7 linked regions of the Coturnix japonica genome follow. The protein of the gene in region 1 purifies or fractionates together with the protein of each later gene. This does not show direct contact. Links are inferred from orthologs where the notes say so. Each region holds a gene or a part of one and is shown in the gene's direction. Other genes may lie near its edges.

What was found.
Region 2: the proteins of PHB (region 1) and EMC2 purify together in Homo sapiens (affinity purification with mass spectrometry; 3 studies listed by BioGRID and IntAct, with this or other methods). This does not show direct contact. The link is inferred for Coturnix japonica from reciprocal best matches to the Homo sapiens genes PHB1 and EMC2.
Region 3: the proteins of PHB (region 1) and SLC25A5 purify together in Homo sapiens (affinity purification with mass spectrometry; 3 studies listed by BioGRID and IntAct, with this or other methods). This does not show direct contact. The link is inferred for Coturnix japonica from reciprocal best matches to the Homo sapiens genes PHB1 and SLC25A5.
Region 4: the proteins of PHB (region 1) and RB1 purify together in Homo sapiens (affinity purification with western blotting; 3 studies listed by BioGRID). This does not show direct contact. The link is inferred for Coturnix japonica from reciprocal best matches to the Homo sapiens genes PHB1 and RB1.
Region 5: the proteins of PHB (region 1) and CANX purify together in Homo sapiens (affinity purification with mass spectrometry; 3 studies listed by BioGRID and IntAct, with this or other methods). This does not show direct contact. The link is inferred for Coturnix japonica from reciprocal best matches to the Homo sapiens genes PHB1 and CANX.
Region 6: the proteins of PHB (region 1) and STOML2 purify together in Homo sapiens (affinity purification with western blotting; 3 studies listed by BioGRID, with this or other methods). This does not show direct contact. The link is inferred for Coturnix japonica from reciprocal best matches to the Homo sapiens genes PHB1 and STOML2.
Region 7: the proteins of PHB (region 1) and NDUFS3 purify together in Homo sapiens (affinity purification with mass spectrometry; 3 studies listed by BioGRID and IntAct, with this or other methods). This does not show direct contact. The link is inferred for Coturnix japonica from reciprocal best matches to the Homo sapiens genes PHB1 and NDUFS3.

The regions. Positions count from the first base shown.
Region 1 is NC_029542.1:2,952,336-2,956,591, forward strand, and holds the start of PHB (prohibitin), read left to right. Parts: upstream 1-1,456; 5' UTR 1,457-1,556; exon of another isoform or gene 1,557-1,662; intron 1,663-2,013; 5' UTR 2,014-2,051; coding exon 2,052-2,139; intron 2,140-2,514; coding exon 2,515-2,676; intron 2,677-3,160; coding exon 3,161-3,303; intron 3,304-3,461; exon of another isoform or gene 3,462-3,573; coding exon 3,574-3,690; exon of another isoform or gene 3,691-3,717; intron 3,718-4,049; coding exon 4,050-4,145; intron 4,146-4,256. Other genes in the region: ATP-dependent RNA helicase DHX8, read right to left, coding at 399-510.
Region 2 is NC_029517.1:119,278,183-119,281,682, forward strand, and holds part of EMC2 (ER membrane protein complex subunit 2), read left to right. Parts: intron 1-2,761; coding exon 2,762-2,847; intron 2,848-3,020; coding exon 3,021-3,080; intron 3,081-3,500. UniProt on the Homo sapiens protein: Part of the endoplasmic reticulum membrane protein complex (EMC) that enables the energy-independent insertion into endoplasmic reticulum membranes of newly synthesized membrane proteins.
Region 3 is NC_029519.1:15,436,811-15,440,802, reverse strand, and holds SLC25A5 (ADP/ATP translocase 2), read left to right. Parts: upstream 1-1,442; 5' UTR 1,443-1,540; coding exon 1,541-1,651; intron 1,652-1,788; coding exon 1,789-2,275; intron 2,276-2,381; coding exon 2,382-2,522; intron 2,523-3,092; coding exon 3,093-3,250; 3' UTR 3,251-3,492; downstream 3,493-3,992.
Region 4 is NC_029516.1:151,029,307-151,032,806, forward strand, and holds part of RB1 (retinoblastoma-associated protein), read left to right. Parts: intron 1-821; coding exon 822-932; intron 933-2,727; coding exon 2,728-2,876; intron 2,877-3,500. UniProt on the Homo sapiens protein: Tumor suppressor that is a key regulator of the G1/S transition of the cell cycle. The hypophosphorylated form binds transcription regulators of the E2F family, preventing transcription of E2F-responsive genes.
Region 5 is NC_029528.1:4,533,817-4,537,951, forward strand, and holds the start of CANX (calnexin), read left to right. Parts: upstream 1-1,335; 5' UTR 1,336-1,440; intron 1,441-4,135. UniProt on the Homo sapiens protein: Calcium-binding protein that interacts with newly synthesized monoglucosylated glycoproteins in the endoplasmic reticulum. It may act in assisting protein assembly and/or in the retention within the ER of unassembled protein subunits.
Region 6 is NC_029547.1:7,860,553-7,862,752, reverse strand, and holds the end of STOML2 (stomatin-like protein 2, mitochondrial), read left to right. Parts: intron 1-278; coding exon 279-358; intron 359-579; coding exon 580-708; intron 709-1,379; coding exon 1,380-1,511; 3' UTR 1,512-1,700; downstream 1,701-2,200. UniProt on the Homo sapiens protein: Mitochondrial protein that probably regulates the biogenesis and the activity of mitochondria.
Region 7 is NC_029520.1:20,332,147-20,336,190, reverse strand, and holds the start of NDUFS3 (NADH dehydrogenase [ubiquinone] iron-sulfur protein 3, mitochondrial), read left to right. Parts: upstream 1-1,244; 5' UTR 1,245-1,327; coding exon 1,328-1,373; intron 1,374-1,446; coding exon 1,447-1,515; intron 1,516-1,884; coding exon 1,885-1,982; intron 1,983-2,235; coding exon 2,236-2,385; intron 2,386-3,226; coding exon 3,227-3,352; intron 3,353-3,730; coding exon 3,731-3,850; intron 3,851-4,044. Other genes in the region: KBTBD4 (kelch repeat and BTB domain-containing protein 4), read right to left, coding at 1,097-1,115.

The DNA.
Region 1 (4,256 bases):
CACATTTACTAGATCAGGTTGCCCAGGAGACCCCATAGATCCCCATAGAGACCCCATAGATCCCCATAGACCCCATGGACCCCATAGATCCCCATAGAGACCCCATGGACCCCATAGATCCCCACAGAGACCCCATAGATCCCATAGATCAGGTTGCCCAGGGCCCTGTCCAACCTGGTCTCGAACACCTCCAAGGTGTTCAAGGGCAGCACCCAGATCGATCCATCTACCTACAGAACAGCAGCATCCCCTTCTAGGCGCTCACATCTAAACGTTTTATAATATTTCTTTTAGAGATATATTTTATTCTTCTCAATTCCAAAGGCCTTTCGTTGAAGGCATCATGGCCGTCAGGCCCGGTTACAACCTCCCCACAGCTATCACCCCACCTCACTCACCCAGATCCTTATCGTTGATACCCAGGTGGTTGTCAAGCTCGGTGCAGACCTTAGAGACCAGCGATAAATACTCGAGCTTGGCGAGCTCCTCTAAAGCCGCCAGGTCCGCCATCTTTCCCCCACCCCCACCCCACACACCAGGAGCCACTTCCGCATCCGGGAAGCACCGGAAGTCAAGCTGATCATAGAGAGGATAGAGAGCTAGAGCGGCTCTGTCCGGATCCAATCAGCGCTGGGGGGTGCCGGAAGTGGCCGTTGCTAGGCGACGCTTGCCGCCGCCATGTCGGCCTTGCACTGGGAGGCGAGGCGAAGGCAGGCCGCGCTGGAGCGGCGCAGGGCCGCGTTAATACGGGTGTGTGTAGAGCGAGGGAAGGGCTGGGGAACGGAGCTAGGGCGGCTCTTATAGCCCCATATGTACTTTGCAGTCCGCGGGCTGCTCTAGAATGGATACGAGGCACGGTATTGATAACAGCCCGACGCAGGCATTGCCTCCCGGTGAGCAGAAAGCGGCCCTGGGGTTAAAGGAAGGGCTGAGAGCCGGGCTGGGCTCTACTCAGCTCTACCTTGTTCCTATTATAGAGCCTCAGCCGTATCGTTGCTGCTGCCCGAGTCATCAAGCGTCCAACCCAAGTGCCAGGCTGCCCAATCGCTTCACGGTAAGGAGCTGCCTCAAAGAGCTGAGATCCATCTGTTTAGAAGCCAAAGTAATTTCCCTTTGCATCTATAGGCTATTCAGTACATGCAGCAATGGTGAGGACCACAGACCACAACAAGCAGAGCAAAGCACCGCCTGTGTACAGCACAAGGAGCCATGTCAGCTAAAGCTAAGAGCTAAATAAAATAGCACTGCGCCTCAATGTCAATGGTCTGTGTTAAGCATTAAGCTCCTTCCTCTGCCTGGGCCTGCCCGGCTCTGGGGTTGCAGGCCCAGAGGCTCATTGCTATCAGCGAGCTAAACAACCAATAGGAAGCAGCCTTGCTCAGCATGTGGTACCGCCGCGAAGCTCGCTGGGAGTTGTGTCCTACCCTGTAACTACAATAACAACGAAGAACTACAAGTCCCAGAATGCCTCGTGGAAAGCGCGGGCCAATAGGGAGAGGGCGTGTTGAGGTTGCACGCATGCGCGGTAGGGTGGGAGGCCGAGGATTCATGTGGAGGTCAGGGGAGCTGCGGGAGGAGAGTGGGGTGGGAGGGGGCGGAGGGTCTTGGGGTATTGGAGCTGAGCTGGGGGCTGAGGGTACGAACGAGGCCTTCACCCGCCAGGTCTGTGTCCTGAGAGTCAGAGGCCTCGGGAAACGTGGGTGGGAGGAGGGAGGGGGGGAGAATGGGGAATTAAAGGGGGTTCGAGGTGTGGGGTTCCTCGAGGGGTTTTGGGGGGGGGGAAGGGGGGGATGTGGGGTCTTGGGTTCAGAGTCCAAGGTGATAAGGGGGGGGGGAGTGGAGAGGCCTGTATGGCTGCTGAGGGGCAAAGAAATTGCTATTATAATGAATGATCCCATTTCATGGTGGGCTTTTTGGATTGGGGTTCCATCCCAGCTCTAGGTACACACTAGGGCTGCCTGGTTTTCTCGTTTCCTATAGTTTTACCGAAGTTATGGGATTTTTTTTTTGCAGGAGGTTCATCATAAAGGGGTTAGAACAGCACGTGAGAAATGGCTGCCAAAGTGTTTGAGAGCATTGGGAAGTTCGGCCTGGGGTTGGCTGTTGCAGGTGGAGTCGTCAATTCTGCTCTATATAATGGTGAGTGGGACAGGCTGAGTGTTTCCAGTTCTCTTTATGTCCTTATTATCTGGCTGCTCTGTGCTTTTATTGCTTGTGGTATCTGGGGAAGACAGTGATAAAGCCTCTTTCAGGGCTGTTTTGTACCTTGTGCATTGCATAAGTAGGAGGAATTCAGGCTTTTTCAACACAACTCTCTTGTGAGCAGGCTGAGGGCTCAGTGGTAATGGATGAGTATTCTCTTTTGATTTGTTATTCCTAAGAATATTAATAGCTTTGCCATTTTTACATAGCAAAAAGCCTTAACTAACCTCCATAGACTGTCCCTATGGAAGTTTTGCTGCTGTGCAGATATAACTCATGATGCTACTGAATCTATGTTGTTTTCTTTTCCAGTTGATGCAGGACACAGAGCTGTTATCTTTGATCGATTCCGTGGAGTCCAGGATACGGTGGTAGGAGAAGGAACTCATTTCCTCATCCCCTGGGTACAGAAACCGATCATTTTTGATTGCCGTTCTCGCCCACGTAACATACCTGTCATTACTGGCAGCAAAGGTGAGGTTTGGGACTGGGCAGCTCTATAAGATCCAGGCACTCTGATGTGCACTGTGTGTGTCTCACTCTTCTGCTGCTTTGGAGCTGGGTGGGCAGAGGCATGAGAAAAAGCTTTTTGAAGACACTTATGATCATTAACGTGCTAGAGGACTATAGGAATGAGGGTTTTATCTCTGAACATGGAGATTCTATGAGTGTAGAGTTTAGCAGTCAGGAATAGTTTGATACTTATCCTTTAAATAAAAAGTCTGTGTTTACTGTAGGGTAATTCCCTGCATTACAGACAAACTGAAGCTTCAGTTTAATCTGTAAGGAGGATTTGGATCCCTATGTGAAATATAGTCCTTGGTTAATGAAATACTACAAACCTTTCCTTTGTTAGAAGTCTGAATGTTTGTCTTATTTTGCTTTCCTCTGGAGGGGACAGCTTCAGTATATCTCCTGCCCATAAGGTTTAATGCTAAATTTGTGCCTGTTTCTGCAGATCTACAGAATGTGAACATCACGCTGCGTATCCTGTTCAGACCCGTGACTGCGCAGCTACCCCGGATCTTCACAAGTATTGGGGAGGACTATGATGAGCGTGTCCTGCCCTCCATCACAACTGAAATCCTCAAATCTGTTGTGGTAAGAACAGCACAAATGCTGGGGTCAACCTGTCGCTTCTCTTTTGTTTTAGCACTAATGAGACGTGCTGAATTGTGGAAAATGTGAAGCTCTAAAATGAGGCTTCTCTTTATACCCCTTGGCTCTAATGTGCAATACAGAAGAGTTAAAACTGTATCTATGCTGATTGCTTCTCTGTCGTTTTAACTACTTGGCTTTATTTTCATCAAGTTGGGTGACAAGTAGAGCATCTGAGAGCTTTCTTCTCACTGTTGTCCATCCTGACTTCAGGCTCGCTTTGATGCTGGAGAATTGATCACTCAAAGAGAACTGGTCTCCAGGCAAGTGAGCGAAGACCTCACAGAGAGAGCAGCAACTTTTGGCCTCATTCTGGATGATGTGTCCTTGGTAAGAGTTCCCTTTCAGTTTTTCTCCCTGTGCAAATAGGGAAGAAAATTGGTAGAGGATCGGAGAAGAGGTGTGAAAGCTTGTGTATGTGGACCCTGTTTGTTTGCAGTTGCACATGATGCAGTGGTTACAGCTCAAGTCAAAGTAGTTGGTTGTGTCACTGGCCACCTATAGACTTTGTTTTTTAAAAGGATGGAAAGCTTGCTAGGTTTAGTTTCTGTTACACTGCATTCTTTTTTTTAGCGATACTGACTTTCCATCTTCTCTGATAAAGGCAAAACGCCTCCTGCCTTAGACATGTGCTGTTGGTAGCAGTGTTGCTGTAAATGCTGTTGTGGACTGTGATTTCTGCCTTGCAGACCCATCTGACCTTTGGTAAGGAATTCACCGAAGCAGTTGAAATGAAGCAAGTGGCCCAGCAAGAAGCAGAGCGAGCCAGGTTCATTGTGGAAAAGGTACTTTATTCTTTTGAGAAACTTTAGCTTGGAAGTAGTTCCTGGTATCTCAGTCATTTCTTCTCACAGTGAATACTTTAGTCACCTGCCCAGGAAACCAGGCAGGTATAT
Region 2 (3,500 bases), on another chromosome or scaffold:
CTTATAATTTGTCTTATTCTGAGGTGTTACCATCAGAACTTGGTGCTTTACCCCTTTACCCTTGATGTCTGATCACATCACATGACATGTTTGTTATAAGTAAACATCAGCTGAAATCTTTGACGAGGAGTAGTTGTAGCTTGTCCTAAATTTGCATCTCGTTACAGTGATTTATGTTATTTGGGACTATTGTGGTTAGGAAATAAAACAGCCATGGAGAAGATCTGTTTGCAGTCGCTTTTAGAGGACTTCCTTTGCATGCAATTGAATGCATTAGGAATGAAATAGGAAGATGGCTCATTTATAGAGTGTTCCTGTTTGTCATTGCCAATTAAGTTGTCAGATGCGTTGATTGATTTTATATATTAAACAGATTATTCCAGTTCTCAGGCAGCTTATTTTTGATCGGTCTCTTGATGGCTCTTTTTGCACTTAAAATTTTGAAGATACCAATTGAATTTTCAGCCCAAAACTTACATTTGAAAGTAGGTAGTCTGTCACCTGGAAAAAGCCTTCTGTCTTTGTAAGCCATAATTGCAGGCTGTGCTCCTTTGGCTTCCTAGGTGGTTATCCCACTCCCTCTTCTTTGAGGCTTCCTGCTCAGTGAGCTGTGGGTAATCCCAGCCCTGGGCGGGCAGTTTGACACTGCTGCAGCACTTCCCCCATGGCAGAGGTAATGATCTGCTTCACGAAACACTCTTCATAAAATGTGATAGGGAACCACCGAGTTGGTGTTTCGGGATCTGGGCTTTGTGGTTTTGGTTTAGTAATAGTAGCAGTTGATAAACATGTTATCTGATTCTTGTTACACTAAAAAAAAATTAAAAATAATAATAAAAAAAAAACTTTAAGAAGGTTTAACTATGCTGTTATCTTTCTTTTAAAAGCTCTCTAATAAAATAAACTGTGTACTATTGCTGTAGTGATAAACGCGGTCAGCAGTTAAAACTTTGAGAGTCGGTTCTGGATTTTAGCCAGATGTCTCCCAGTAAAAGTAGAAAGATGAATGTCATTTCACAGGTTGCAGTCTGACAAAGACACAATGGCTAACAAAGTGACTGTGGGTAAAACCACCCTGCTGCCTGTATCCTAATTCTTATCATTTCTGTATCATCTCTTCACCTCTGCTTTGTGTTTAAACTGAAGAGTGAGATATTTTTTCCTTGAATTATTTTCACTGGATTTGCAATGAATATACGTGCTTGAGGGAGGTGAAGAGGACAAACTCAAAGTAAAGAATAAACCTACAGTTAGCATTAAAAACATGTCTGGTTATTCTGGTTTCTTATGTTACTGACCAGCTTGAAGTAGTTTACATAAATGATGTATGCACTGCAGTGTTCTTCCAAGAGAAATGAATTTTGTCAAATGACATTTAAGGATAAGGAACTGTTTAAAAGAACAGACATTTAAAACACTGTAAAAATACACAAACTCTTTCAGGGTATATGTGAGTGTAATCTTAGGAAGGTTAATCGTGAAGAAACTAAAGTGAGAACTATCTGCTTTTGTGCAGTTAAGGCTTCTGTAAGACTATACCCAACTTAATAACCTCTCTGTAAGGAATGAAGTGGGCTGAGAGTTATGAGGGTAATAAGCAATGGGACTGTATTACAGGAACGGTGTACAAGCTTTTCATGAATATTATTATCTCACGAAGAAAAGACATCGAAGTGTGTGTTTTCATGCAGATACATCATGCAAAACAGACCATCTGTCTTCTCATGTCTGACCACAGCAGTTGTGATCACCCAGGGAGCACGGCTTACAAGCACAGTATTTGGCCCATAGTGCGCTTTGAGGCACGTTATGCTGGAGTTTGGAACTATTATTCTGTCAGATTCCAGATCTGATGACTTTCAGACTGGTGGAGGTGTGTTTCTGTTTGCTCCAAACTATGTCAGACTACTGGGAAGATGTCTGTTGGTTTGAATTACACCTTAAGTGCACCTTAAATTTAAACTCCTAGAGGTCAGGAGACTGTTTAGAGAACTGTAACTAATGTGTTTTGGAGACTGGACTATAATAATTAGCTATTAAAATGCTGTGTATATTTTCTCCTGGTGGTTCATAACAAGTCTAATGGGGTTCAACATTTCAGTACATTATAATTATTAAGTCTTTGTTTTAACATTGTTAGCATTGAAATACATATTCTGCCCACATATTGAAGTACTGTTTGCTTTTGCCATCAAAACAGCTTTTTTTATATTCTGTTTACACTGAAAAGCCTACTTTGTGCTCCAAAAGTGATGAGAAGCTTGTTTGTGCAGTTGGTGTATGTTCAACAGTAATTAAAGATGGCATTTAGCGCTTCGATGAGAATCTTTCAGAATGGCTGAAAGCCATATTTATACAGTGGTGACCAAGACGTATCTGTGGGATTCTCCAAAACTCAGTCACCACGTCTCCTCTGTAGTCTTGGACCTCATGAATGACAAGGTGGGGGTCTCTGGAATGGCTGAAGATTAGCATCTCCTGCTGTTTTGTAATTATTAGAATCTGGACAGTCACTTATTTGAATGAAGTAATGCATACAGTTTGTGCCTCTGAATAAAAGCATACATAATGTGATTGTAAGAAAAGGTTTTCAGTCTCTCAGTGGGATGTCATAGGGTATGTTTATAAACTCCAACCTAGCAGTTGTTCTGCAGTGGAATTCCACTGGTATTGAGATAATAATTTGCACAGTCAAATTGCTTTCTTTACAAAAACCCAGGGAATTATGAGACCCTAATCCTTTATTAATGTCAACCCATAGGCAGCAAGGAAGCGTAAGATTGCCATTCGAAAAGCCCAGGGGAAAAATCTTGAGGCCATCCGAGAGCTGAATGAATATCTGGAACAGTGAGTGTCTCACAAGAATACAGATTGTGTGTTGCTATTCTGATAAATCTTTTTAATTAAAATGGAATTTGCATTTGATTTATGCTTTTCCTTCCATGCTGGTCATTTACAGAATCCCTCTACACATTCTTTCTTTTTTGCCTTTTTTTTTCTCTCTTGTCTTTTCTGTACAGATTTGTTGGAGACCAGGAAGCTTGGCATGAACTTGCAGAACTTTACATCAATGAACATGAGTAAGTCGTTTGCAAAGTCTTCATAAAAAATGTTAAATAGAAATATGTTCTGTGCAAGTGAAAAACCTCAGTGATTATTTTGAAGAACTGATGTTAGAAAGCATGAAGTCTCATTTGCAATATAACAAACTTTGTCAGGAAATAATTAACAGCCTTGTCAGACTGCTAAGACATTAACAAGGTATTTGATTTTAAAACAGAATTTAAATAATTACTTGTATGTTTCAGGCATTCATTAAATCCATTATTTTTAATTAATGTTCTAAGCATAGCAAGGAACAGCACATTTTCTCTAGGTTTTTTTTCAAGTGATGTTTTTTACTGGGTATAGATTTTAAATTCTTTGTCTCTAAAAGCCACTGATCAGACCAAACTGTGTGCAATACTCGTATTTTCAATTAGACTATCTCTGCAGGAACT
Region 3 (3,992 bases), on another chromosome or scaffold:
CCTTTCTCCTGTGTACCTGAGTTATTTCAGAGCCACGAGCCTTACGATGTTTTCCACTATTCTTAAAGTTCTATTTTTATGCTAAACTGCTTCTCAGACCCTTGTGCTGCTCAGACCTTGCCTGCAGAAGAGCACCGTGTACACATCCTCTCACTTTCCCTCTTGAACTTCTGCACTCTGGGACCCACAGCCCTTCCTTAGGTTGGGAACTTAGCACAACCTCCAGGTTCTCACTGGTGCCACTGCAGTTAAATAGGCCTCTCACCAGGCCAGGGCCCTTTCAGGAAACATAATACCATTACCTGAGATAATTGTAAGACCTGCTTTGCACTCTTAACACTGATGTACCCTACAGCTGAGCTCTTGTATCTCCAGTAATGGGCTTGCTGTGCACTGCTACAGTGGCTGGTTTTCTTCTGACAGAGAAGCACAGATATTGATAGCAGAACTCAGGGTGACAGGGAGCAGTTCTTGTGGCTTCTGAGTCACGTGGAGGCTGTGTGAGTATTTCTGGCTCTCATCAACCTGCCTAGTGAACATGTTTCTCTTTGCCTCGGTTTCCCTATCTTTGTAAAGCGTCATTAACAATATTGACATTTATTTGATGTGTGTAAATAAGGAAATACGACTTGTGAGCGAGTTGGGAAGAACTGGTTTCTGAGCCGTGCTTTTACATGGACTTTTTGTGTTTGTTTTTACTGACGTTGTATTTCTAAATAGATGTTAAAGATGGGATGATGGGTGCATATAAATGTTAACTCGCCTCTTGAAACTTCATGAGACTCAAGCGAGTCAAAAAGGTACCTCTCACTTGTTTGTGGGATGCCACTGTCCCCTCTGTATTACAGTTTACTCCTGAGGCCTATAAACCATTCATTAACTTTGTATCAGCCAAGCCTCTCAGCTGTGTGATTGCATCTGCTTAGAAGGGAGAGCTGGGAGCTGCAGGCTGCTGAGTCTGAGATCACGGAGCAGGTCCTGGAAGAGATATTAAGGCACGTGGGAGACGCGGCTGTTAATGGAGCCACGCACAGGGCTCCATGCGGGCTGTGTGTGCAGTCATGCCCCGCACAGGGCTCTATCCCGGCTGTGTGTGCAGTCATGCCCCGCACAGGGCTCTATCCCGGCTGTGTGTGCACTCATGCCCCGCACAGGGCTCTATCCCGGCTGTGTGTGCACTCATACCCCGCACAGGGCTCTATGCGGGCTGTGTGTGCAGTCATGTCCCGCACAGGGCTCTATCCCGGCTGTGTGTGCAGTCATGCCCCGCACTCAGCTCCATCCCTCCGGTGTCTCCCGCCGGTTCCCGTCGCTCCGCGCCACCCGGTGGTCCTAAGCCCCGCCCCCTGCGGCGGCCCCGCCCCCTCCCGCAGCCAATGGGCGTGTGGAACGCGGCGGCGCGTTGCCGTGGCGCGCCCCCGCCCACGTGTGTTCCGCCGCCCGTATATAACGCGGCCATTTCGGCCCCGCTCCCGCCTCGCTGCCGCAGCGCCGCCTCCCCCGTCGCGTTCCGCCCGGCCTCTCCTCGCCGCCTCCCGCCATGGCCGACGCGGTCGTGTCCTTCCTCAAGGATTTCCTCGCCGGGGGGGTGGCGGCCGCCATCTCCAAGACCGCCGTCGCCCCCATCGAGCGGGTGAAGCTGCTGCTGCAGGTGAGCGGCGGGACGGGGGCGGCGGGCGTTCCAAGGTCGTCAAGGAGAGGGGGGCTGCGGGGCGGCGGGCGGGCGCTCTGACGGCGCTGCTGGTGCTGCTGGTGCTGATAGTGCTGCTGGTGCTGTGTCCCCCGCAGGTGCAGCACGCCAGCAAGCAGATCTCCGCCGACAAGCAGTACAAGGGCATCATCGACTGCGTGGTGCGCATCCCGCGCGAGCAGGGCGTCCTGTCCTTCTGGCGGGGTAACCTGGCCAACGTGATCCGGTACTTCCCCACCCAAGCGCTCAACTTCGCCTTCAAGGACAAGTACAAGCAGATCTTCCTGGGCGGCGTGGACAAGCGCACCCAGTTCTGGCGATACTTCGCGGGGAACCTGGCGTCCGGCGGCGCTGCCGGCGCTACCTCGCTCTGCTTCGTGTACCCCCTTGACTTCGCCCGGACCCGCCTGGCCGCCGACGTGGGTAAAGCCGGGGCCGACCGCGAGTTCAGCGGCCTCGGTGACTGCCTGGTGAAGATCTTCCGCTCGGATGGCCTCAAGGGCCTGTACCAGGGCTTCAACGTGTCCGTCCAGGGCATCATCATCTACAGAGCCGCCTACTTCGGCATCTACGATACCGCGAAGGGTAGGTGGGGTGGCACGGCGCTCCCGTGGAGCTGTGGGCCCTTAGCCCTGCACTGTGCGTGATGCCGGTTCGCCTGCTGATGTCACACAGAGCCTCTCTCCCGCAGGAATGCTCCCCGACCCAAAGAACACCCACATCGTGGTCAGCTGGATGATCGCTCAGTCGGTCACCGCGGTGGCCGGTTTGGTCTCCTATCCCTTCGATACAGTTCGGCGCCGCATGATGATGCAGTCCGGCCGTAAAGGAAGTAAGTCGCTCCCTCCCTCCTTGTGTTAGGGGCTGGTGGGCATCCCTGAATCAACAGCTGGCAGTGGGTCTGTGCTGGGGGCAGGAGTGTGTGCTGCCCTTCACCAAGGCCTTTAAATTCCTTCTCCTCTTGTAAACTGCAGGATATGAGGGGACTGCAGAAGCAGCTGTCAGGTGGGGGCAAATAGATTGGCTTTGTGGCATCCCTGTAAGGGGAACATGCAGGTTGGGTTTGTTCAGTAAGAAGGAATGGCAGAGCTTGCCTGAGGATGTTGAAACTCATGTCTCTGGGCTAAGAAGGGTTGTCCTTCAGTGCAGGCACGGCCTGGCTGACTGCAGTAGCTTTTGGGACTGGAAGTTTTGGTGTCTAGGAAACAGTAGCTGCCTTCTGCTCAGACTGGTCCTTCCAGTGTCTCCTGGGGGTAACACAAGCCTGGGCGATCTCATCGTCTAAAAGTAAGTCAAGAAATGGATACATGAGGTTGTACAACTGCCAGATACGTTAGGTGGGTTCTGACTTGGACTTTGGGGGTCATAGGCAGCAGGTTTCTAACACTGTCTGTTCCCACAGCTGACATAATGTACAGTGGCACTCTTGACTGCTGGCGGAAGATTGCCCGGGACGAGGGCTCCAAGGCGTTTTTCAAAGGTGCATGGTCGAATGTGCTCCGAGGAATGGGTGGTGCTTTCGTCTTAGTGCTGTATGATGAAATTAAGAAGTACACATAAGTTATTTCTTGTTCTGAAGTGGCATGTTGTAATATGTTATCTATGACCATTCATGGACTTGTATGAAAACTGTCTAGTTACTAACAGTAACGGATGATATTTATACAGGTTGGCATGGGGCAGGGACAACCTCCTGCCTCGTCTTTATCAAATCATTCCCACTGCTGGGACTCAAACATGGTTTCTATTTCAGTCACTCCTGTTTAAAGAGTACAAAGAAATAAAAATCCGATGCCAGCTTTCTTTGTCTCATGGTTGTTCTCATAGCAGCTGCAGTGTGAGGGGCCAGGGACCTCTGTGATTGTAGAGGGGGAAGGCAGAGCCCTGCATGACCCACTGACTGTGGGCTCCAGCACGTGAATGCAGTGCAGCCTGCTGAGAGAGTGTTTCCAGCCTGGTGGAGGTCAGCAGTGAGTGCTGGTGGTAACTAAGGGACATGTGCTGGCCTTGTGCCACCAGTCCTGCCTTGGGGCTGTGTGTTCCATGGGGCTGATGAAGGCTCTTTTCAGAACCTTTTCCTGCAAAGCACCCACTGGACTAAACATCTGGGGACTGGAGGGAAGTCGTAAGGAGTATCCACAGCAGCCTGGAAGAGCGGAGCTGGCGTCACATGTTCTGGCTTAGAAACTGAACTCCCTACTTGGGCATGTTAAAACTCAGCCAGAGAAAATAAGTGTGGGTAATTGCTGCTCTTTCTGCAAAGCCCCTGGCTAGGCTTGCCATTGCATGGAGGTGTTGGGCT
Region 4 (3,500 bases), on another chromosome or scaffold:
ATTTCTATGCAGTTTAGCTATTCCTTTAGCTGATACTGCTGCCATTGTAAAAATATCTTCAATAAATTTTTCAGCGAGTTTTTTACTTGGAACACTGCTATTCTGCACTTGAGATATGTGTTATAGTTTGCCTGTATTAGCATATGGCTGACTACCTGAAAAGACAGGCAGATCTTTTTAAAGTAATTCTGTGAGATTATATTCTTTAAATACTATGATTGTCCTTGAAGAGGCCGAAGTCCCAGTTAAAGCTGAATGATGAAGCTTGGCTTTGGTAATACATGAAGTCCCGTCTTATACTGCTCCTGTTAATTGGAGTGCATCATGTCTTAACTGCTGCCCTCTTCAGGTCTCTTTTTCTCAGCTGATCCTAAACCAATTTCAGTAGCAGAGATAGTGGATCTTTTTAACTGGAATTATCCAAGCATAGGCGTAATCCAGAAACCATGAATGGAAGAATGCAATGGAAGGACTGAAAGTACAGTCAGCATGTTTTGAATTTCTCCTGACTGTATACTAGGAGCTTATTTATTTGAAGGTTGCTAAGTATTCAACAAAGCAAAGTTTTAAGGTCATAAAAAGTGAGGAGGAATTGCAGAGAAATGAGGTAAGTGTTGATAGAGGTTTGCACAGCTACTCCACTGTGGCGAAGTGAAAAATGTATGAGGGAGGGCTACTGAGAGCTTTAAAGAACAGACATCTTGTATGATGTTTTCCTTACTAATCACAGTGTATTTTATTAAATAAACTCACACATCTTAATTTTTCAGATAACGTCTTTAAAGTTGAGTATCTCACATCAACTTCTTAAATGTTTGCAGGTAAAGTGTTGCAAATGGAAGATGACCTGGTGATTTCCTTCCAGTTGCTGCTGTGTGTCTTAGATTATTTTATCAAACTGTCACCTCCTGCTATGCTCAAGGAACCATACAGTAAGACTCTGTGTTTTTTGTTTATTAAATCAAAGTGGAAAATAAATGGGTTAACTTTCCATTGGAGTCTTGCTAACATTCGCAGTTAAACTGCCAAAGTGTATTGAAATTGATTCTTTTTTTAGTATTTTAATTCAATTTAGATGATGATGGATTTGAATTAAGTTATTTTAATGTGGCAGTGTATTTAACATATTTCAATTCCTCTATCTCTTTCCCATGTCCCCTTTCCATTTGAGTTGTTCAGAAGCTTGTGAGAAGAGTAGTCTTGGCTTAGTAAAGTAATTTAGGTTCTGGGTAGATGGCAACGATTGAGTACTATTATTTAGGTTTGCTTTGAAATACAAAAGGAGAAGGTGGTGCTGTGGTTCTTGCTTCACTGATTCCTAGCAATATGATGACAACTGAAGTGTGCAAGGTACTGGACTATGCAGGCATTAAAAAGAAATACGTGATGGATTAAAAAAAACGATTGCTGTGATAGCTCAAAATGGTAAAGAAAGAGGTGTATATTTTAATATATATATTTAATACATTCACTTTCTATTAGAACATGTTTCTTCCTTATTTTATACACAGATGTAATGGATCTTACCTGTAGAACTCCCACTCAACATAAACTGTTGTATGTCCAACTTTTGTACTCAAAGCATGGGAAATGTCAATCAAAAGTCAGAGAAATTGTTTACTTTTCACTTGGAAAGACAGAACTCCATTTTTGCTCTTTGTTGAGTACTTTATTCCACAATCTATGGATTTGATACTCTATAGTATTTGCAGCCCTAGGAAGTAGAGAACAGTTTTTGATACTACACAAGTTTATCCGGTGTTGGATTTGAATGAGATATTGGAATTAACAGCCTGAATCTTCCTGCTCTTCTGTTGCTTTCCAGCTAAATATCCATAGGGAAAATGTAAAGACTAACACCTCATTATTTAAAAAACAGGCTGTGTGTATTTTATCGCTGTCATAATTGTAAAGCATATTTCTCACTTGGTACAGGTACTCTTGAAACTGTCACAAACTGCTTCATTCCTTTAGCAAGTAGCACCATTATTCAGGAGGCTTCACATTATGCTAAACAATGTCAAGCTTTGTGATATTAAGAGTGTGGGGATTAAGATGCAACCACCAGAGCAGTGTCGTTTGTCAGAATTACTCATAGAACTGTTAACAAATGCAAATGTAGTTATAATTGAGAACAGCTCTCTGATAAAGAGTATCAGTTTTAAAGCATGTAATTGTATTATCATGTTAATATAATTTGGATATTTCAAGGTGATGATATTGAGGCCATCTGCACTGGAACAGGTTGCCCAAGGAGGCTGTGGATGCCCCATCCCTGCAGGCATTCAAGGCCAGGCTGGATGTGGCTCTGGGCAGCCTGGGCTGGTGGTTGGTGACCCTGCACATAGCAGGGGGTTGAAACTGGATGATCATTGTGGTCCTTTTCAACCCAGGTCATTCTATGATTCTGTGAAAATGCAACATTTTTACCTCATTTGAAGTAAGCAGTAGAGCAGCTGCTTATTCACAGCTGCTTCTAAAAAGTGCTATTAAGTGGCACTGAATACTTGTAAAAACAGAATGTCCAGATACTGATAAAGGAGTTGAAAAATTGGTATTTTTTTGTAGAAGTTTTTGTAATGGAGGTTGCTTACCCAGCTGAAGAGATGAAAAGGGAAAGATTTAAGACTGCCTGAGAAGTCATAAATATTTAAATCTATGAAGTTACCGTAGTTGTTTTTCCTTAAGATGAATGTAAACTTGTGATGGTTCTGCTTGTCTTTTCAGAGTCTGCTGTGACTGCACTGACTGCTAATGGTTCAACTCGAACCCCACGAAGAGGTCAGAACAGGAATGCACGCGCTTCAAAGCAAATTGATACAGATACAAAAGTTATTGAAATCCTTTGTAAAGAGCATGATTGTAATTTAGATGAGGTAATGCCTGTGTTTTAATATATGTTGGATCTTGCTGCTAAACCCCTACTGGGATATGTGCTTATTTAAGCATTTCGGTTTTAAAAGACTGCTTGTGTTTACTAATTATTCTCTCAAGTTCAATAGTGAAGGTATTGTGCCATTCTACAGTTCTCTAGTAGGTAGGTTAACAAAATTAAGTCCCTTCTTATGATGTGGGTGATGAGTTTCCTTGCTAAGGTAAACTGTGAAGAATGCTGTGTTAAATTTCATACTGATCCAATGTCTGGTATGTGGATGCAGACCTGCTCTGATGGGGGGTCACAGCTGTATCTCACAATATGAAAATAACTGCTACTAATGCACTCCTGTGTGGGATCTTGAAGGCCTCATTCGCCTTTTTCTCTGCTGATAAATATCTTTCTGTGTGAAAATGACTTTATTTCTGAATATCTGAGCAGATGACTAGAAGAAAGAGGCTGAAAAGTGGGTAAATTCCTTCCCATTTTATTTCCAGCCGTGGATAGTATGCTGAATGCTTACATTTGGAGTGGATCCAGAGGAGGGCCACAGAGATGATCAGAGGGCTGGAGCATCTCCATTATGAGGATGGACTGAGGGAGTTGGGGCTCTTCAGCCTAGAAC
Region 5 (4,135 bases), on another chromosome or scaffold:
TGGATGGTACCTGGCAAAAACTGCATTTTGCCCAGGGAGGAGATGGAACATGCTAAATTAAACACCTTTGTTACCTTTTAGAGCATTGGTTTCTTATTTAAGACACTTGGTATCTCACCTGCTGCCTGTCGTTTGGGGCTGCTTCCCTGCCTGTCTCTCCGCATTCAGGCTGGGCGCAGCTCAGCTGACAGCGAGGCACAGGAGCCAGCTCGGTGGCTTTGGGGTAAACTGCGACCATCAGATCCCAAACTTCAGCACAAGCGGGATTTGCTGATTGACCTCATTTATGCTGAGCCTCATTTCCGAGCTGGGTCAGTGCCGGCATTGTCCTCACGGGGTGGAATTTTCTCTGCGAGGAGACGTAACGCTGCTGACTCACCGCGTCGGCTCAGAGCAGAACGACGTTTGTAAAGGAAAACCCCCCTTCCCTGCTCCCCGGAGGCCACAGCCGGCACCGGGACGTTCGGCTTCAGCTCCCACGGGCGGCACAGCGGAGGCAGGGCCTGCTCCGCTCCCCTCAGCCCTCAGCCCTTCCTTCCGCCACCAGAACCGTTACTTCTGCATCCCCGCCCTCCTCCGCTCGTCTGGCCTCACAGACACCCTGACACAACCGCATCGCTTCCTTCGGGAACCCGGCGTTACACAAGGCCTGCAAGGCCTCTTGCCCGGCCCCAGGCCCACACCCTCAGCTCAGCCTGTGACTAAGGGGTACCAGACACACAGATATTTTCCTAACAGGCTGAAAACGCTTTCCGAGGGGTTAAAGAAACACCAGGGAGCGATGAAGGTGAACGAGCCCCAGCAGTACGAGCAGCTCCCGGCACAGCAGCGAGCGAGGCCGAACCCTGCTACAAGGCCGAGCCCCGCTATGGGGCCTAACCCCGCTACGAGGCCGAACCCCGCTGTGAGGCCTAACCCCGCTACGAGGCCTTAACCCCGCTATGAGGCCTAACCCCGCTACGGGGCCTTAACCCCGCTGTGAGGCCTAACCCCGCTACGGGGCCTTAACCCCGCTCTGAAGCCTAACCCCGCTGTGAGGCGATGCGCCCAGGCCGCAGCCCCGGCCGTGCCCCCACCACAGAGAGCGGCCGTGTCCCCGCCCACATCTCAACGGCCTCCCCTGGGCCAGCCAATCACCGCGCACTTCCTGCAACCTCGCCAGCCAATAGGAGCGCTCCACGAAGGGCAGCGCCGTTGGGGCGTGTTTTGAGGCGGGCGGGCCGTTGAGCGGCGGCGCTTTTAGCCAATCAGAACGCAGAACGGGCGGAGGGGCGGGAGGGTGGGCGCGCCGCTCGCCAATGGGAGAAGAGAAGAGAGGTGGGCCGGGGGGCGGAGCTGGCGCGCAATAGATAGGCGGGCGACGGCGGCGCTGGGCGCCTGGACACGTGACGGAGGTGAGGGCCGGGGGCGGCGGGAGGGTCCGCGGTGCTGCGGGGTGCGGTGAGTGACTCCACAGACACACACACATATATACACATGGCGGGGGGTTTGTTGGGGCTGCGGGGCTCCGCACGGTGCGGGGGGTGCGGTGTTGGGGTGCCGGGCCTCGAGCCTTCAGCCTCCAGCGTGGGCCTTGTGGGCAGCGGGGGGGTCCCGAGCCGCTGAGGGAGGGATGTGTGCGGCCGAGAGCTGCGGGCCGCCATGCTGAGCCCTGCGGGAACGGCGCCTTCTGGTACGTTCTGAGGGCGGGCGGCGCTGCGGCCTGTGCGGGGATGGGCGGGATGGGGAGCGGGGCCGTGACGGCACGAGGGGGGGAGAGCACGGAGTGAGGGGACGGGGAGGATGAGCAATGGGAAACAACGGGGTGTGCAATGGGAAACAACAGGTGGGGGTGCGGGCTGAGAGCCGCCGTGCTGTGAGCCTCACGGGCTGGGCTGGTTGCAGCGCAGGGCTCTCAGCTCGCACTGCTGGTCTGAGGGTCTCAGCCGTGTGCTTTTGAATTACAAATCTTAGTAAAGCACTCGTAGTCGTGACAGCGCTGTCTGCTCTGCTCCTAAAGAGTGAACTTTCACGTGCCGTCCCGCGCTTCAGAACTTTCTAGGCGGTGGAAAGAGAAATGCTGCGGGTGAGCTCATTGGGAAGGGAAGCTGCCATGTGGTGCTGGCTGGGGTTACCTACAGCTCCGGGCTTCAGCGGTTGTGATGTTAATGAACGCTGCTGAGCATCGTGTAAAACACACCGAGTTCGTTTGGGGTTTGTCTGGTGCCTGAGGTCCGGGCTCCGGGAACGTGATGTTTGTTGAAATTCAGTCTGTTATTTAATGTTTGTCAAGTAGTGATAACCCATGTGTATTATAAGGAGATAATAGAACCGTAATAAGGTGTGATATAACAGTGTTAAGAGTATGGGTTAAATGGAAGTTAATATATTACTACAAAAACACTTGAGGTGCACGAGAGTGGCTATTACATTATGTGGGTTTATTCAGAATGCTTGGCCCTTTTCTAGTTAAACTTCAGTATTTAAGTCTCAATATTTCCACTTACTTCACTTTACTTAAATATATGTGTAATGAAGAGACTATTTCTACATACTATTTGACAAGCTGGCTATAGGACGTTAACTGTTTCCTGGTGTTGGCTGCCCCTTTTGGAAGAGAAGCCTAATGCAGAACAGCGAGGAAGCTCACAGCTTCCTCTAGTTTGCCCTTTCATTCAATGTGTTGCAGCATTTCCCGCTAAGTAAATGAATAAATGCTTCACTGAGAGCACCCTGTAACTTGTACTTAGCCCTTCCTTGTATTTCCTTTCCTGGCCTTTCATTTTTCTGCCTCTTGCAGTGAACAAAATGGCAGCCTGTTCTTGCTGGAATCAATTCTGTAGCAAAGCAATCCTGAATTGATTTCTAGGCATGATCTCAAAGATCTTGAGGCGCCTCCACATTTCTCCCCACCTACCTTAATTTCCCTTGCAGTCCATCTGTTTTATGGCCAAGAAGCCTTGCAGTTCTGCCTTTGTCCTCCAAGGACTTCCAGTTCTGCGGGGATCTCTGTGCTGACAAACAGTACATGGTGTTTTCTCCCTTGCTGTTTCTGCAGTGTTGTACATTATTTTTAGAAACTGGCGTATTTGAAGTGCTTATTAAAGGCGAGCTTTGCTGTCACCTTTCACACCTAATCCCTTGGTTTGTTCTTCTTGCAGTCCAACCAGGGTGGCTTTTTCTGTTGCTCGTGGGGGCTCCAGGTTTGGCTGATCCCTTCTCAGAGTAGCAGTGTGTCCTGCCCCCACCCCTCCTTTGTGAGGGGAGAAAAAAAGCCAAACCAACGATACCACCCACACACAGAACTCCAGCCTGTTGAAAGCAAGGCAGGGCACTACTGGAGTCTGTCTGACTGCAGAACTGAGCACTTAAGGGGAAAATTTGGTCTGTATCGTATGAGCTGCTGTAGATATGAACATAATTTTATTATATCCCTCTCAGGAGCGGTGGGAATCTGGATGCTGAGATCACAGTGTTTGGCAATGAGGTTAGTGGTCTAGCTTTGCTGTGGAGTGTAGATCTCCCAAGTCTGCCTAATGAGAGGCCTGTGTGACAGGCGTGGATGCCTGCAGTGTACCTGATACGTTGGCATAAAGCTGATGCTGCTGCTAGCAGCTTAACATCCTTTATCCTTGGCTACTTGTCCTGCTACAGCACCTTCTGCCTTTGTGTACTGGACTGGAGCATTGATGACAGGTTAAAGCAGAAGGGTTTTTAGCCATCTTAAAGGGCCTGCCCTGCTCACCAGCAGGCAGTTGCTGTGACACAGCAGAGGAGGCAGGATGTGGAAAGTGAAGGGATCTCAAGATGTCAGAGATTCCTCCGCTCTTCAGTGGTTTGAACTTTAAGGAACTATTGGCCTGCCTTGTGGAATAGCCAAGTCCTGCTCAGAAATAATGAGAATGTCGTTTGAAGGGGGTGAGGATGGGGCGGGTATTGCTCCTCCTTTTGGTCTCCTGGCAGTTTTGTTTGAATGTACTGACTTGTGTCTGTACAATTTTCTTCCCCGGCCCTTGTCTTGCATGAGGATGCACTGTGCTTAGTTTTGCAGTTGTGCTTCCTCTGTAAATACAGTAACAAAGTGTAGCACTGAACACAGGGCTTTGCTAGTAAATCTTGTTGCTTACATGCGCTCAAGTCAGTTTCAGCTGTTGAG
Region 6 (2,200 bases), on another chromosome or scaffold:
ATCACTAGGGCCTGGGGGGATCTGTTTTGCTCTGGGCTGAGGGGTGATACTCCTTGAGAGCAGACTGCATCGCTGTGGGCCAGGCTTCTTCAGCTGCTCATTCCTCTCTGCTAGGGCCTTTGAGACCCCTCCACAGGGGTAGGAGGAGGGTTGTTGTAGAACAGCACTGAGGTATTGTTATCGAAAAGGAAGCTTTGCATGAATGAAATTGTCTTGCTGTAATTATTGCAAGCACTTTGTCTCAGTTCTGATGCGCATTCTGCTGTGCTTCATTGCAGGAGAAGCCAATGCCATGTTGGTCAGAGCTAAGGCCAAGGCTGAGGCCATTCAGCTCCTGGCAGCTGCTCTGGCACAGCAGGTAAGCCATGGCTACTGGGGGAAGCCAGAGCTTTGGTGCTAGCATTGAGGGAGGTGAAACTGAAGCTGGGGTGGCACATGGCTTTCTATGTGATGTCTACTGGCATCCTGAGCAGCAGTGAAAATTTCTGCGATGAGCTGCACACAGAACAGGCTGGGCTGAGCTCTTGGTCATACATGACTTGGCATCTTTCCTGATGGGCCTGATCTGTCTCTCTCCAGCACGGCAGTGCAGCAGCCTCTCTCTCTGTGGCTGAGCAGTATGTGAGCGCCTTCTCCAAGCTTGCCAAAGATTCCAACACAGTCCTGCTGCCAACCAACACTGGTGATGTCACCCACATGGTAGCACAGGTCAGTGTCAGCAATGGGATCCTGTTTGTTGGGGGCTAGTGAAAGTGACAACCAGGTTTACCGTGGTGGATGGGTGTTTGTGCTGAGTGAGAGGTGTGGAGATGAGGAAATGGGCCCAGTGTGTGGGTCTGGGATAGAAGGTGTGGGTTGGAGCAGCTGCTTTGCAGCATCCTGTGGAAACCAGGCGGTCTCTGGTGTAGCTGTCCCTAGCTGCAAAACAGGCCTGTGATGGTTTGCTGCTGTAGAAGAGAGGGCAGAACAAGCTGGTAAAAATACAAGGTAAGTGCTGACTTCTGTCTTCTCGATATGTAAGTCTCGACCATTGCTCTGCTGGCATGCAGCTGAGTGTAGAGCAGGGATTTGGCTTGGTTCCTGAGGGCATTGCTGTGTGCTAGCAGTAGTTCCCCATGCAGCTGTCTTAAAATGGTGATGTGACCTGACAACATCAGGGCTTTGAGCAGAGCCCTTTCAGAAGCTGCTGTGGCCCTATCTACCTTGTGGGGCCTGCTCTGTCCCAGCCCTATGCACACCCTGTCCTCTCCTGTCACAGCCTTGTTGCAGGTATTCTTGCTGTCCCACAGGGCCCTCTCTAGGGACAAATGACCATTTCTGTTCCTGTATCCATCCAGTGCATCTCATCTCCTCCCTGATGGCTCTCTCATTTCCTGCAGGCATTGGGCATCTACACCACGCTGACCAAGACACAAGCTGTGAAGACTCGGGATGAGCTACCTCTAGCCCATGAGGACCCCCAGCCCCTCAGCACAGAGATGCTTAAGGCAGAGCAGGCAGCCTCCAGCTAGTGGGGCAGAACAGACACTGGACACACTGATGGGGCAGCACCCACCAGAAAGGGGATACTTGTCCAGGGCCTGCGAGCCTGTGGGGAGCCCTGTTCCACCACCTTCCTCAGCTAGACATTCTTCTTCCCTTGGCCCTTATTTTGTATCTGAATCTGATCACGTAATAAATAGTACCATCGCTACAGCACATCCTTGTGGTGCTCAGAGCTGTGTCCTGACATGGAGGGTTGCAGCATGAAGTGATGACTGTCCTGAGAGGCTCCGTGCCTGTGACAATCCGCAAGAAGAGCCTGTGCCCACGGGCTGTTCTGGTTCTGGAATGACACGGAGCCTTGTGCTGGTGGTTGCATGCAGCAGCTCGAGCTGTTGCTGGTGCCACTGGGGGGGTGGGTAGAGGAACGTGCTGGAAACTGGTGCTGGTGTCAGTATGTAGGGAGTGAGGGGAGCAGCTCCGGAGTTTGGCAGGTACCAGCTGAGGGGGATCGGAGCAGCTGCCTGTACAGAGGGTGAATGCTGAACCCCCTCCATCAGGTGCAGGGGCAGAGTGGGGATGTAGGGGAGTGGTAGTTGTGTCCAACACCCCTTCAGCTCCGGCAGCTCGTGGCCGTGATCGCTGTTAGAGCAGAGCTCAGCGCTGCCCTCCGCTCCTGTGAGGAGCTGCAGCCGCCATCAGCCTCCCCTCAGCTCCT
Region 7 (4,044 bases), on another chromosome or scaffold:
CAACTCCCAGTGAGCACAGCATCCCAGCACAATCAGAAGATTTGCATCTTTCCACAGCTCATTTCACTGGCACAAAGAAATACTTGCAAAGCCAAGAAAAGCAACGCTACTGCTGCTGGGCTGGGTGGAAGAGAAAGGGGTTAAAGTATCGCAATGCAAAGATCAGTTAATTAGCATCCAATGTGTTTGAGTTTTTGCAACGCATCGAGTAAAGTGATTTTGTTTTTACCAAAAAATCTGCCAGGCACAACCATCAGTCCCTCAAGCGAAGTATACGAGGTAACTGATGGCCATATTTGCTGATGTGCCACTCATTTTCAGCATACAAAACAACTTGCTAGATGCCGTTAGTCACCATTTCCTAAGTGACAAGGAGAACTCGGTCTGCAACACTGCTGAGCAGGCGACAGAGATAACTGGCAGTGTTCCGAGTTGAAGAAGCTTCTGACCCAGCTAAGGACTGCTGCAGGAAAGGGGCTTTAACACAGCTCCTGGCAGCATTAACAAACGGAGGCCTGTTTGCATTCCCTCTAGTTCTACACCTCGACTATCCAACTATGGTGACTGAAAGCAAAACTGAACTGATTATTTCTGCACGTGATTTCCAGTACATGATTTCTCAAACGCATGACTTCTCTCCAGGAGATTAATGGTTACTTTCCCTGTTCCCATGCCTTCAAACACTCCTGCTCTTGCATCAGCCCTGCTGGTGCAGGACGGCTCCTCATTCTTCACTGACGCTTTGTTCACAGGAGGTTGTTCCCCATCTCACGGGCTGGACAGGTCCCTCCCATCTTGGACGGTCTGTTTTAAGCATGACCTTTGTTGTACAGCACTCATCGGACCGGCTGCACCATCCGTGATGCTCCACGATACTGAGGTCGTGACCCAGAACAGCTCAGCCCTACACTTCCAGCATTAGCGGGTCCGAGCCCGTCCCGCAGCGCTCCCAGCCAAGCACCAACAACCGCAGCCCCAACCCCACGGCAGGAGGGGCCGCGTCACGGGGAAGCGTCAGCAACGGCTACAGACCGCGAGGGAGTACGTGGGGTTCACAGCAACATAACGCTCAGAAACAAAACGGTGCGACACCCACCTGCGGCTCCTCCCTTCATGCCGCCTCGGCCCCGTGCTGCCCCAGCGGCTCCCGCTCGGCCCTCACCCTGCGCCAGGCGCCGCCAGGCACTCGCCGCTTCCGGCACCCACCCGGAAGAGCCGCCGAGCGATCCCAGCGCGCTTCCGGCTCCCGGGGGAAGTAGTTCGGTGGCGGCGAGTCCTTCCGCTTCCGGTCCGTGCCCTTGCCCGGCCGTGCTGCGGCGGCGGCGGGATGTTGGCGGCGGCGGTGCGGGGCCTGGCCTGGGCCGTGCGGCGAGGTGAGAGCGGGAGGTAACAGCTGGGTAACAGCTGGAAAACAGCTGGGTAACAGCGTGTCCATTCTGTCCTCAGCTGGTGCAGGCCCGGCGGCGGCGGCGGTGCAGACCCGGCTGGCGGGGGGCTCGGCCACGGAGACGCGACGTAAGTGAAAGGGGGGCTGGAGGGGGGGGCTGTTTTCGGAGGGCTGTTATTCAGGTAGCTCAGTTATTGAGGTGGTTCTCAGTTATTCAGGTAGCTCAGTTATTCATGTGGCTCAGAGGCAGTGTCCCTCAGCCTTATGGTGTTATTTTGATGTCGTTTTTATGATAGCAAACTCTGCACTGCGTTGTGCATGTATTGTATATTTAGCTTCAGGTTTACCATGTGTAAGCTTTATGGGATGCCTGAATCTGCCTTGCTTCTGAAAGAGCTACTGAGAGACTGAGAGTGGTTAAAGGGATTTTTAAGGAGGTGCTGAGTGTTGCTGCTCTTTCTGTGACGTGCCCTGCTGGAATCTGTTGTTTGCCGTAGCTACTGTCAGACCGAAAAATGAAGTGGAACAGAAGCAGCTCTGTGCATTCGGGGAGTATGTGGCTGAGATCCTGCCCAAGTACATCCAGCAAGTACAGGTAGGTGCTCCGCAATTAATTGTTCTTGCTGGGAGGCAAGGGACGGCATGAACACACCACCTGTTAGATGTCAGAAGCTGTTGTGTGGAAGGGAGATGGTCAGAATTGCATGAAAATTACAACTACTGTTGAGCCACTTTCTCTGATGTCATTGTGTCTGCTGTATTGTGTACTCTGTATGATGTGCTGCTGGATTCTGTGCAGCGTTCAATCCTGTTAGCACGTGCAAGTTCCCTTTCATCCTTTTCATCAGGTGACCTGTTTCAATGAGTTGGAGCTTCTGATCCATCCAGATGGGATTATTCCAGTTCTGACCTTCCTCCGAGATCATACTAATGCCCAGTTCAAGTCCTTGGCTGACTTGACTGCTGTTGATGTCCCATCTCGGCAGTACCGCTTCGAGGTAAGAACTGCTCTGAGACACCAAGCTCAGAGAGTTTCACAGGTGCTAATGGCCATGGGTGCTGTTGCAGCTAGAACTGGATTTTGTACTTCACACACACAAAAAAGTCTGATACTGCATGGATTCCTAGTTAGGCTTTCCTGTTCTGTTCTGCTAGAAGTCTTTTTGTGGGGAGTGGTAGTAGCTTGTTTTGGTTTGTTTATACAAAGCCTTCTTTCTGGCTTGATACAATCTGGTGCTCTTCCTTCTTCCTCCTGGGCCTGTCAGCTGCTGTTAACACAAACAGTCACAGTTTTCCTTAAAATCCCATCAATCTTCTCCTTAACAATTCTCCTTCCTCTGTCCAATTTGGGCGGATCATCCTTCAAATGGGAGAAATGATGTAGTTTAATTCCCAGCAAGTTACAAGGATAAAGAAAAGTAACTGGTTTATTTTTCCCCTTGGTTTATCTGTGGTAACAAATTTAACATTCCAATTGGATCACTGGATACTCAGAGTACTTGGTAGCTGTTTTCTTTGAGACAGGCTATTGTCAAGTGTTTTCATCCCTCCAGTATTCTCTTTCTTTAAGATTTACTGTTCTTCATTACTTTAACTCTTTTTCAATAATTGATGTTTTATAAATCCCACATACTTTTTGTTACACTTCTAAGGAAGAGATAGTGCATGGGACTCTCAGTTACGGTGCCTTTCAGTGCCCAGCTCCTAAGAGCTGAACATGATTTTGCTGAAAAGGAGTATTTGAAATGGGCTCGATGTATCTTTGCTCAGCCTGTCCTATATTGCAAAGAGACCTTCAAAGTCCTTACAAGCCCAATGCCTTCTTGTACTCTGCTTCAGATTGTTTACAATCTCCTGTCTCTGCGATTCAACAGTCGGATCCGTGTGAAAACATACACTGATGAGCTGACACCTATTGACTCAGCAGTGTCTGTGCACAAAGCAGCAAACTGGTATGAAAGGGAGGTGAGTGCCAGCCTACCTGGGAGCAGCCTCTTGAGGGGGGCTGTGTTTTCCTGATCAAACTTGATACTTAGGGCACTGAGAAAGAAAGAAGCGTTTCACTGACTTCTTATTCTGAACAGGGGGAAACAAAGGTGTTTGGTTGTTTTTTCTTTAGTTCTTTTATGACTTGCACTGGTAGTGCACAAAACCAGGCAAGGAACTGAAATCCTGTGGATATAATAACAAAGGGTACTTTGTTCAAAGTAAGAGGAGCCTGTGTTAGGCTTGTTTGTTTTCATGGTTAGATTGGCCTCCAGGTGACCTAGTGAATCGTGGAGGTGCTAGAGAGATTAGAATGGAGATAGACAGTCTAATTCAACTTGTCTCCCTTTCATTTAGGTTTGGGACATGTATGGTGTTTTCTTTGCCAACCATCCTGATCTAAGGCGAATCCTCACAGACTACGGGTTTGAAGGCCATCCTTTCCGGAAGGACTTTCCACTCTCTGGTTATGTAGAGGTAGGAGATGCATTCATGTCTGAAGTTATAAAATCTCTGAAACAGTCTTATCTGAGTTATACAGAGATGCTGTTGCTTTATAATCTTTCATCTAAAAGGGAGCTAAAGACATTTAACTGGTGCATTTAACAGCAAGCTGTACATATCTTCAGCATCTGAAATCATCATATGTATCATCTGCAGTAAGGCAGCTC